Linked DNA regions of Cricetulus griseus. The protein of the gene in region 1 interacts with the protein of each later gene in a biochemical or structural test. Links are inferred from orthologs where the notes say so. Each region holds a gene or a part of one and is shown in the gene's direction. Other genes may lie near its edges.

Region 1 (3,512 bases):
GTTCCTTCCCCCTCAGGGCCAGCCTTCTGAGGTTGCTGGACCCAGGCAGGAAACCTAACTCGGCTTGCCTTTCTGACCAGGTAGATATGTTCTCCTATGGAATGGTTCTGTATGAGTTGCTGTCAGGACAGCGTCCTGCGCTGGGACACCACCAACTTCAGATTGCCAAGAAGCTGTCCAAGGGCATCCGCCCAGTTCTGGGGCAACCAGAGGAAGTGCAGTTCCATCGACTCCAGGCGCTCATGATGGAGTGCTGGGACACAAAGCCGGAGAAGGTACATGGAACAGAGTGGAGCCTGAGCCCTTCTTCCCCAGTGGTAGGGGCTGTGGGTCTCCAAAGCACACCTGTGCTGCTCACCCACCCTCCCTAAGGACAGCTGGGCAATCTTCTCTGTTTGTCTCTCCTAGAGGGAGCTTTAGTTTCCCTAATGTATCTCCCAGTCTTGGTGTGTATACATACATGTGTGCCTACATGTCTGTCTGTCCTTCTGAGGAAATGTTACCCTTTTATTCCCAGCTTGTGTACTTGGGACCAGAAGTATTTCAAGTCTTAGAGTTTTCCAGATTTTTAGAATATTATTTATGTGCTAGTTGAACATCCCCAATCCAAAAATCCAAACTCTAAAATACTCCTGAATCTGGAACTTTTTGAGTATCACTCAATTTGTATATTAAACCCATTGTGGCAATATAGTCCCCACGAAAGAACAGGGGGAAGGCATGCTTTGGAAGTTTTGCTTGTGAGAAGCAGGGACCCTGTTACATTATCAAAGATAGCTCCTTGTTCGTCAGAAGAGGCCCCTACGATCAAGCTTAGTACATTTGTCCATCAGATCAGATAGTTCATGTAATGCATTACAAATACAATATGAGACAAAAGTTCATGTCCCTGGGATTAAGGTGTGACACAACGGGCCTTTGTCTCCAGACCAACTGATCTTATTACTGTGGCCATGATGACCTAGAGACTATGAATGGCCTTTATTTTTTGGAGGGGGAGGGTGTTCTGAAGCCTTTTCAGTCTTGTGTTAGGCTAACCCTAGTGGAAAGATTCTCATATGCCCATGGCTGGTGCCAGTGGCCCTATGTAGCGAAACTGCACAGCAGTGCTCACTAGGGACCTCTCTCCTGCAGCGCCCACTAGCCCTGTCTGTCGTGAGCCAGATGAAGGACCCAACCTTCGCCACCTTCATGTACATGCTGCCCTGTGGAAAGCAGTCAGCCTTCTTTTCATCCCAGGGCCAGGAGTACACTGTGGTGTTCTGGGATGGGAAGGAGGAGTCCAGGTAATGTCTCCGGTCTATCCTTCCCTGCTTATGTCTTGGGTGGCACTGGGAACAGAAGAGCAATGATGCTGATGGCACACATGATTTAGCAGACAGCGGAGTCCAAAGCCTGGTTAGAGCACACCTCTTCTAAGGCCACTGCACCAGCCTGGGGAAGGAGGTGGCCGCTGGCTATCTGGAACTGACCACAAGTTGTTGCCAACCACAGGAATTACACAGTGGTCAACACAGAGAAGGGCCTTCTGGAAGTACAGAGGATGGCCTGTGCTGGGATGAAGCTGAGCTGCCAGCTCAAGGTCCAGAGCTCAGTGTGGATAGCCAGCGAGGTAACTGCCAGCCCGCAGGGCCCCTGGCAGGGTGGGCTTTGGAGGGGTCCAGTTCCCAGGGGGACCAGGTTTGTAAAAACTACAAGGTTTCCAGGTCAACTTGATTATCGGGTAACCCCAGCTTGTCCCTGAGAATCCCTAGAGCAATGCCATCAGTACTGTGAGGTAGGTCACCAGGAGAGCTGCTAGACTGCTACTGAGTGGTGCTTGCCACCAGCCGGGAGCTAGGATTCAGGGTGGTGAGGGCAGGTGGATAATCTCAGCAGGAGAAACTTGATGGGGGATGTCCTTCTATATGCTGTGAATCTATGCTTCTCTTATTGGCTGATGAATAAAGCTGTTTTTGGCCAATGGACAGGCAGGACATAGCCAGGCAGGAAGTATAGGTGGGGCTACCAGATTAGGAGAATTCTAGGAAGAGGAATGCAAGGAGTGGGTGGAGAGGGTGATGCCATGTAACCACTGGGAAAGTAGGGTGCCTGGACATTCTCCGGTATGCCAAGACCATGTGGAGTTACATAGATTAACAGAAATGGGTTAGTAGTTAAGAAAGAGCTAGCCAATAAGAAGCCTTAGCCTACTGCCAAATAGTTTATAATTTTTTTTTTTAAAAAAGGAGAATGCTGTGAGATCAGAGAGAAGGAGCAAGCCACAGCCACACCTTACCCCCTTAGCCTCTCAGCAGACAAGAGAGCAAGTTCCTGTTTCTGCCGGCCGATATCCTCTCTCTACCCAGCCATCTCACTTCCTGTCTGTCTATACAAACCTCTGTGATTAGCTGGTGGCAAGCTCCATTCTCTGACCTTCAGATAGGCTTTATTTGTACAAGCAAGATATCACCACAGAAACTGGGTGTATTGGTGGTGCCACAGAGCACAGATCATCCCTGAAAACCTTTTGGCTCCATATCCAGAAGTCATTGGAAGACCTGAGTAGCTGTCTTGTGAGAAATCCAAAGACTGCCCCAAACTACATGCTCTGGGATTATGATCATCCAAGTCCATCTACATTACATAACTGTTTGGAAATATGGCTATGTGTGAGATTCTCCAAAAGTACCCATGCTACTGAGACCTCAAGAATAAAGAATTTGTTCTCAGAGAATACACAAAGAGAGATCTCTAAGAATAGCCTACCTCAATGTAATTCTTAGTAGCGACAACAAATTCACTAAAAGTAATGGGCAGGGGAGTTGACCCCCTTATCGACTGTAAAAGGAGTGAAAGGGCTCTGCCTATGGCACAGTGTCACTGTCCAGTGACCCCACTCTATTAGTAGAATGCTCATGTACACCCACAACAATTTTCTGAGATGCTCTGTCCCCCCATCCTAAGGACTACCAGTTCATTTTCTTCCAGACTATTCTGTATTTCTCAAAGTTTCTACAAAAAGCAGAAATTACTGGGCAGTGGTGGTGCACACCTTTCATCCCAGAACTCAGGAGGCAGAGGCAGGGGGATCTCTGTGAGTCTGAGGTCAGCCTGGTCTGCAGAGAGAGTTCCAGGCAGCCAGGGGTACACAAAGAAACCCTGTTTCAAATGAACAAACAAATGAACAAACAAACAGAAATGAATAACCAAACAAAATGCTGCCTTTTTAAGGTACAAAGGGGTTCCCCAGGCAGAAAGCATCCTAATAGGGCATGCCAGTCACTTCCCTCTCTGGCTCTTATAGCAGGCTTGTCTCCTTTTGCAGGACCAGAAAATCTATATCTACAGTCTTAAAGGCATGTGCCCATTGAGCATGCCCCAGAAGGCCCTGGACACCCCGGCTGTTGTCACTTGCTTCTTAGCAGTGCCTGTTATTAAAAAGGTAAGGTGGGAGAGAAGGATGCTCAGGACCTGTGTGGGAGGCCCTACTTTCTGGGGACAGTGATTTGAGCTGGGGACAGTGGAGACAC
Region 2 (4,061 bases), on another chromosome or scaffold:
TTATATTTCAAAAACATTTCATCTGGGCTCGTTTGGGTACTTATTTAAATTCACACACTCAAACAAACTTCATTACAGCAAAAAGAAAAAAAAATCTCACCTTCCCAAAGAATTGCACAAAGCTTTTTTCTCACGTGACTGATGTTCGAGAGAGCAGGTAATTTGTGTTAAACAAGTGATTGACATGCTAGCCCCCGGGTGTTTTCTTAAGAGGAACCGTGGCGAAAACACAGTTCTCCTTGCAGCCACTTTCCCCCCAAGTGGACCTGGCGACAGGGACAACATTCCTGCAGAGACTGACAAGGCCTGAGGGAGTAAGTTCTTGCTCTCATCACTCTCTCCCGATTCCGCGATGCAGGGGAAAATCCCCCTGGCTGGAGGGGTTTCTGTTTCCTTGCAATCAGGGGTTTGTCCTTCAGCTGAACTTTCACCTTCCGAACTCGCCTTCTTTCATTGGACAAAGTGCAGAAGGAAAGGGGAGAGACCGAGGGAGGACCCGAGAGCAGGCGTGGGGCTGGAACGCCGCCCCTGCCGCCCTCCGCTCCAACTGTCACCCAGGCGAAGCACTTTCACTTTTAACTGGAGGAAACTCCATCTCCGCCTGTCCTCTCCCCTCCTGGATTTTGGAGCTCAGATCTTAGCGGAACCTCCCTGGCATTCCCCTCTGCGTCCCTAGTTGCTGACACTCCTCCTCTCCATTTCCCTGGGTCTGCATGGGTCCCTCTCCTCTTCTCCTGAGGGGACCCCTTCACCCCCCAGGCCCCTCATTTTCCAGCTCTTTCAATCCAGTCTCCCTTTGCCTGGGAACTGTTGTGGCGTTCCCGTCCCGGGTTTCGGGGCTCTGCCTCCCTCTCCTCTTCCCCTCCCCACGTCCCTCACTTGGCAATTGCGATTCTTTTTTTTTTTTTTTTTTCTTCTGCGAGCCCTGTTGTTTACCCAGCAGGTGGATGTGACGTCAGAGACGCACAACAGCAAAAAATAACAACATCTCCCTCCGCGACGCGATGGCCTCTCGCGCGCGCCTTATTTATTTATTTGTTCCGGGATGCCGCGGGGAGGGGGCAGGCGACCCAAGGGCGGCGTAGAGAGGTGTAGGTCGCTCTCGGGGGGTCGCGGGGGCCTCGGGAGTGAGCATGGCGGGGTTTGGACCCGGCTGGGGGCTGGGGCGGGTTGGGGGCGCCTCGCGGCTGCAACGCTGGCGCGACTCGGGAACGAGTCCCAAGCGGAGGAATCTATTGTTATTTATTGTGTGGCAGCTGCACGCTGTGCTCGCGGCCCGGCCCTCGCCCGCGAGTGCGTGTGTGCGCGCGTGAGTGTGTGAGCGGGGGGCGCGCGCGCGGGCGGGAGTGGGCGCGCGCGGGGAAAGGCCCCGAAAACACCTTAGTTTGCACCGAGAGACCATTTGCCGCGGGTGAGTTCGTATTTTTCCATTTCTGCTCCACTTTTTTTTCCCCAAGCCGCCTCCTGCCTTGTTTCCGCCACTTTAAACAACAACAACAACCAGCACCAAAAAAAAAAAAAAAAAAAAAAAAAAAAAAGGAAAAAAAAAAAGAAAAAAAAGATACAGAAAAAATTTCCTACTTTTCATCTCCAGGCTCCACGTGCATCTCCCCCAACCCTCTGTTCTTGACTCGCTCCCGAATCGGGGCCCAGGATCTGCGTGGGTGGGGGCCGCGCGCGGGCGCCGGTTTGGAGGAAGCGCGGGAGGCGCCCGCACCCTTGGGTTCATTTGCATAAGTCACTGTGGGGTGCGGTGGTGACCGCACGGACAAGCTCGTCTCCCCCTTGGCCCCTCGCGCCCCTGCGCTCGCTCACACCGCTCGGGTACAGCGATCAATAAGCCCAGGCCGCCTGTCGCAACTTTGAGTGCCCAGCGTCAGCGTTTGGTGGCCGCCTGGTACGGGTACCCGGAACCCGGCCGCGGTTGGCGGGGGCGTGCGGCATCCTCTCCCGAGCTCAAAGTTTGAACTTGGAGCAAACTTTTCCCCTGCTATCCAAGGGTGCGTGCCCCTTCTGTACCCCGGGCTGCCCGGCGAATGCTGGAGGGCTGAGCAGGGACGCCTGCGCCCTGGGCCCGGTGCTTGGCGACATCCCTGTAGCCACGCGTGTTTTGGTCCGAACTCAGCCGTGTGGATGCTCTCTAGCTAACCCCTGGGAGCCCAGAAAACTCATACACACACCCGCGCACCCTCTGCCAGACACGCACCCCACGCGCGTTCGGCCCCCGCTTGTCAGAGACGGCGCCCGCGGCAGCCGTAGCCGAATCGCGGGTGGGCATGGGGACAGGGCACGTCTCGAGGACCCTCGGCGCCCGTACTTTGGATCCCCCGCCACCATACACTTTCGCTTCTGACTCCTGCGCCTCTTAAGCTCAGGGATCTGTCCTGCTACACGCGCGTGCCACCGCGTCCCTCCGGCCCTGTCCCGGCCACCGATGGCTCTCCGTTTCTCGCCTGTGCGCAGCTTTCCTCCCGTGCTCTCGGCACTCGGTTCTTGTCCCCCGGAGACGTCTCTCCGGAGCCGACGAGACGAGGCGGCGCGCGCTTCGGGTGGGGACCGAGGCGGTGGCGGCGGCGCCGGGAGCCGAGGAGTTTGCCAGCTGCCGCAGGGTCGTGGTCATCTGCTGCCTCCGCCTTCCCTCGCCCCCGCCTCCCGCGCTCCCCCCCCTCCCGCCGCTCTCGGAAACTTTGATTCCTTGTCCCCCTCCCCACCTGTTGTGAGCTCCGCCTCAGTCCCCGGAGACTGGCGGTGACACACACGGGCGCCAGGGAGCTCCGAGCCCAGAAACAAAGTCGCATGCCCCCCCCCCCTCCGTGTTTGCTTGGAAATTGCTGCCTGCAGCACCCCCATTCCCGCGCAGCTCCCGCCCCCTGGGAGCCTTAAGGACTAAATAAACAGTTGTAACTCCAAACCTTGCGCCTGCCATCGCAGCCCTATCCCACCCCTTTCCCCCGGTTCTGCCCCTCCTTTTTTGTTGTTGCAACTTTGTAAGATCCCGGGAAGGTGCTGAGACTAAGGCTCAGGCCGCGCTCCGGGTCTCCGGATCCCTGCAGGGATTCCCGGCCGCGCATCCTCCTCCCCTGTCCCCGAGCGCTTGGAGGTTGCCTCCTCTATCTCTGGTCTCGCCCCCTTCCGCCTAATCACCTCGTCCCCTTCGATCCCCCCCACCCCGAAACCTTCACGGAAGGAAGACTTGCTGAGGGTCGTCCCGGTCTCTTGTCGGTCACAGACCCCGAAAGTTTGCCCCAGGAGGACGGCGCGCGGCGGGCGAACGGGCGAGGGGCAGCGGCGGCGCGGAGAAGCGTGGAGCTGCCGGCGCCTCCTCCCCAGACTCGGTGGGTAAGTCGAGGCGGCCGTGGCAGGCGTGCGGGCGGGGGGAAGCGGGGAAGCCGAGGCGCTGTACCAACCAGCCTGGGCAACCAGATCGCTGTGACCAGCCACGGGGAGCAAGGAATGTGTCCATCAGGCTGGGACCTGCTTTCTCCCTTTTCTATCACTTTCTTCCCTGAATCCGATATCAAAGTTAGCGTGGAATGTGAAGTGTAAAATGGTGACATCCCTTGCTCTCAGCCCGCTCCCCCCTTATAACTATTAATTATTTCCAAGCCATTGTGTCCAATACTCTAGCTGGGCTGATTTCAGTGTATTGATTTAGGCTAGGCTCATCCTACGCTTTCATCTTAATTTATTTTCTTATTGCTTGACTAGAGGACCCAAAATGAAACTTATTCCTTCCTTTTTCTGTCCCCCCCCCCACCAGCCCCTTCATCTGGGTGGTTTAAGTAGAATAATGAAATTAATATGAACACTTCATTTGAGCTTCTTCAGCACACTGCTGAGGGCTCAGGATTGCTCTCACGGCAGGCTCCAGGTATTTTCCAGGATCAGATTTCTTATTCTGTCTCTCCTCTTTAAGCAAGAAGGCTGCGGGAACATTTTGGGAGCCCTATGCACTTCACCTTCCTTGGGCCATAGCCTGGAAGAACTTACAAAATAGCTAAGCTGAGAAAAACACCCAAGGATATCTAAGGAATTTTTTTCTGTTCCTGAAAATGTTTTGG
Region 3 (4,043 bases), on another chromosome or scaffold:
CATCACTGCAGTATTCCCTAATATCAGGCAGAGACCTGACACTTCAATCACGTCTATGAATGCTTTTCCACCTGTGTAGTGGGAACAGTATTTTATTCATACCTTGATGGGTGAAAAGATTGGGGTAAAGCATTTTATATAAAAGTTCAGATTGTAAGTGCTATGAGAAATAGGTCCAGGTGCCCAGCAGGTGGTGGCACACGCCTTTAATTCCAGCACTCTTTTGGAAGGCAGAGGCAGGTGGATCTCTGAGGTTGAGGCTAGCCTGGTCTACAGAGTGAATTCCAGGACAGCCAGGGCAATACAGAAAAAACATGTCTCGAAAACCCAAAAAGTAAGAAATAGGTTCAGGAACAGTGAAGACTGGGGGTGGGGGGCGGGGCAGAGGATGAACTTTCACAGGTGTGGGGTAGTTTCACAGGCTTTTGAGATCGGATAACCTGGACAATTTTCGCCTAACTTCGAATTTTACGGGAATGTATGTCTCACTGTGGACTATCATGGTAAGGATTCATACTAGTGCAAACGTGCACGAATGCACGATCACGCCTGGCATACTCTGAACAATGTTTCTTCGACTTCTTCCTATCACAAAGAATCGTCGATGCTTGCTTGCTTCCTCAGTTCTTCTTCACAGATTCCCATATTTATGCCTTTCCCGAGTGATGAGGATGTAACGAACCGGTCACGTTGGTATCTAGGAGCGAACCAAAAGTTTCTCCCCTAACGAGGCTCAAAGAAGTAATCCAACTCCGGTTCTGGAAAACTCCAATCCATAGTTTTCCCCTGGCTCTGAATCTCCCGCGGTCTTGCTACTCAAGCAGTGAAGACGTTGGCTGACCGGAGTCCACCGGCTCCCAGGAGGCGGGACCAGCTCTCTAGCTATAGGAGCTGGAGGCTGGGGCCTCAGCGAGCAGCCCATGGGCGCCAGGACCACAAGTCCCAACATGCACTGCGGCAGCACCAAACACAATTAGCTGGCCCCTCTCGTCCTCACTGGCCAATTGGACGGCGGTGAGGGGACAGACTCCAGTCGTAGGAAGACCAGTGATAATGCAGAGGAGGCGGGCGCTTCCTCATCGCTCACCTTGAGCTCAGAAAACCTATCTTTAAGAGGTCGTGCGGAGCCGGCCTGTCGCGGGCAGTGAGGCGAGACCCCGAAAGTGCTGCGGCACGTAGGACAGCGGCGGCGGCGGCCAGGCCGACCTCGCGCAGGGTGTTCTGGCGTCGTTGGGGGCGGGGTCGGGGGGCGGGGCCTGGCCTCGTTGTGGTGCGGCTCGTAATCCATCATGGCGGCCTCGGGGGTCGGTGTCTATCCCTGAGAGGCGCTGGAGCCGGAGCCGGTTGCAGCGTCCTGCGTTTGAGGAGCCCTTCCGCGGCACACCCCCCTCTGGCTGAAGAAGCCCGGTCCCTCGGCAGAGCCGGGGATGTGACTGCTTGGCGGCGGCGGCGGCAGAGTCCGGGGCCGGGGGAGGGGTGTCTCGGGTAGACCCCTGGCTCGGCGCAGCTGAGGCGCCGGGCCTCCTCCCGTGGCCGCCTCCCGTTTCGGGACCGCGGGAGACCTTCGTCCCTCACAGCTCTGCTCTGGCTCTGGGACACCCAGGGTGGTCTCAGTTTCAACCTACCTGGGACACTCAGTTTCCTGAGGCGAGGAGGAACGTCGCCCCCGAGTAAGCCGCCCGCGCCCCACCTGGGGAAGTCTCTGTCTCACCCCGAGGCCGCCCTTCGCTCGATTCCCACCCCAAGTTTGACCACGGAGCCCCTCATTCAAATCTCTCTGCTGTCAAGAGATCTCCACGGTCCTCCCAGATTGCTTCCGCCGGCCTCCGATGTCCTGACTTCTTCCAATGTCACCTACAGCCCCATTGGTCTCAGTGCAGCCCAAAACTTTAATGCAAAGAAAAAGTCTGGATTGGTTTCACAGGCCTTTTAAAAAGCGGACTTAAAAAAGTTGCTGGCCATGCATTCCTTTTCGACAGTGTGGAGAGCAAGCTCTGGTTGAGATCTGTGTGACCCGAGTCATTTTCCGGAGAACAGGATAGGGAAGAGAGCGGCAGGAAATTTGTTGGAGAGAGAGACAGATAGGGGATTGGTGACTTCCACAGGAAAAGTTGCAGAGAAGCGTCAAAGACGTTCAACGTCTCCAGCATGCTGGGGAGTTGAAATGACTTTTAGTACTGTTGACCCTTTTCAGACTCCCCAATGAATATTTCTATCTAAAATTCGCCCCTTGCAAAGAAACGTTCCTCAATCCGCAAAATAGACGGAGTCAAGAAGCTTTTGGGTAGCGTTGCGATGACATGACTTCAAATTAATTAACTTGGAAAAGAATTCCAGACTCCTGTTTACATGTGTGAACCTCAAATCCAGTTTCCCTTTCTCATGGAAGTTGACTTTCTGTGACTGACCCCAGTTACTGCCGTGGAGTCAGTGTTGTGAAGTTCTGGGTACATTCTGTTTCCTACTGAGGGGACCATTCTGGAAGATCTTAAACCCTCTTCTGGAAAGGGGTGCTTATCATTGCTTTATGGGGCAGCAGCCTGGAAAAGTTCTTGGGGACCAAAGAAGGCCTAGTTTGCCTGCCCTTCATTTTATCAAAGGGGCAGGGAAGAGGGACTCATCGCGGCATGGGGGTCCACACTGCAACGTGTTCGTGGAACATGGTGAGTGCTTTCCAGGTTTCTGATCATTGTTTTTCCTTAAACATCAAAGGACTTTATGAAACAATGCTTGTGTCGGTTCCTGCTGTATCTGCTTAGCGTTTTTGCTACTGTAGTTACTAGTTTCTTTTTCTGGTGGAGCAGTTCTTTGCATAAGAAAATTATGACTATTCAGTCTGCTTGAGTTGCTGTTTCTAGCCACATCCCACTTCAGGTTCATTGTTGACATGGGACAAGTCCTTTTACTGTTTGGGGGCCTGCATTCGTGAGGGAGGGGAGGGGACTTAGGTGCTTTTGAAGTATTCATAGTTCTTCCCATCTGCTCTCGCTAAAAGTTGGGAGTCTACTGTTATGCATGGTTTTTTTTGTTTTTGTTTTTTGGTTTTTTTGTTTGTTTGTTTGTTTTTTTTTGGGGGGGGGGTTGGTGGTTTTTCAAGACAGGGTTTCCCATTGTAACAGCCCTGGCCATCCTGGAACACACTTTGTAGACCAGGCTGGCCTTGAACTCACAGAGATCTGCCTGCCTCTGCTTCTGAGTGCTGGGGCTAAAGGTGTGTGCCACCACCACCTGGTAAGCATGGATTTTTTTTTTTTACTGCCCGTCTATGGAGCACTTGTATCGTATCCTCAAAGTGATTTGTGTATTGAAAGGTTCTAATAGAACCTAATTGATGCTATCTTTTGATTTTCTCAATTATAAGCAGGACTTGAAAATTCTCACTTTGGAGCAAGGTAGGGAAAGTTGAGTGTGGAAACAGTGTGCCCCTGAACTGAGGACTGTTCTGTTACTTTAAGGAATAACCCTGTCCTCATTGATGGAGCTTTCTTCACCCTCATCTCTTCCTGCTTAGTTGGCTTTGACATTTTTATGAACCTAATTTGTTCATAAGGCTGACAGTACATGTCTTGTTGTTGGCTAATAGTTAAGGTCAGGTTAGACTAACGTGTTGCAGAGGCCATCCAGGAGCTAGTAAATTACCGTCCTGGTTGTACTGTGGCAGTGTCATTTTTCAAACTGTATACTTAATATCAAAATACCAATTGAACCATCATGCCATATAAGCAAGTGTAGCCTATGCAAATGCCTCGTATACTTTGAAATTCAGTCATAAATACGTTTTAACAATAGGTGACTACTATAAACAATGGCTGCTTTTGGGTGAACTTATATTTGATAATTGAAGTTTTCTTTTTTTAAGGTTTAGTTTGTTTTATGTGTGTCAGTATTTTGCCTGGGTGTGTGTATGTGCACCATGTTCGTGCCTGATACCTACAGAGGTCAGGAGAGGATGTTGGATCCCCTGGAACTGGAGTTACAGATGGTCATGAGCCACAGTGTAGATACTGGGAATTGAACCTGGGTCCTCTGTAAGAGCAGCAAGT

What was found. The genes of interacting proteins can lie anywhere in the genome.
Region 2: the proteins of Lrrk1 (region 1) and Foxp1 form a complex in vitro, tested with the Homo sapiens proteins (2 studies listed by BioGRID and IntAct, with this or other methods). The link is inferred for Cricetulus griseus from reciprocal best matches to the Homo sapiens genes LRRK1 and FOXP1.
Region 3: the proteins of Lrrk1 (region 1) and Abl1 form a complex in vitro, tested with the Homo sapiens proteins (2 studies listed by BioGRID and IntAct, with this or other methods). The link is inferred for Cricetulus griseus from reciprocal best matches to the Homo sapiens genes LRRK1 and ABL1.

Annotation. Positions count from the first base shown.
Region 1 is NC_048596.1:131,004,889-131,008,400, forward strand, and holds part of Lrrk1 (leucine-rich repeat serine/threonine-protein kinase 1), read left to right. Parts: intron 1-80; coding exon 81-275; intron 276-1,134; coding exon 1,135-1,286; intron 1,287-1,494; coding exon 1,495-1,612; intron 1,613-3,307; coding exon 3,308-3,424; intron 3,425-3,512.
Region 2 is NC_048601.1:44,450,572-44,454,632, forward strand, and holds the start of Foxp1 (forkhead box protein P1), read left to right. Parts: upstream 1-1,255; 5' UTR 1,256-1,411; intron 1,412-3,229; 5' UTR 3,230-3,339; intron 3,340-4,061. UniProt on the Homo sapiens protein: Transcriptional repressor. Can act with CTBP1 to synergistically repress transcription but CTPBP1 is not essential. Plays an important role in the specification and differentiation of lung epithelium.
Region 3 is NC_048599.1:143,411,979-143,416,021, forward strand, and holds the start of Abl1 (tyrosine-protein kinase ABL1), read left to right. Parts: upstream 1-1,237; 5' UTR 1,238-2,527; coding exon 2,528-2,663; intron 2,664-4,043. UniProt on the Homo sapiens protein: Non-receptor tyrosine-protein kinase that plays a role in many key processes linked to cell growth and survival such as cytoskeleton remodeling in response to extracellular stimuli, cell motility and adhesion, receptor endocytosis, autophagy, DNA damage response and apoptosis.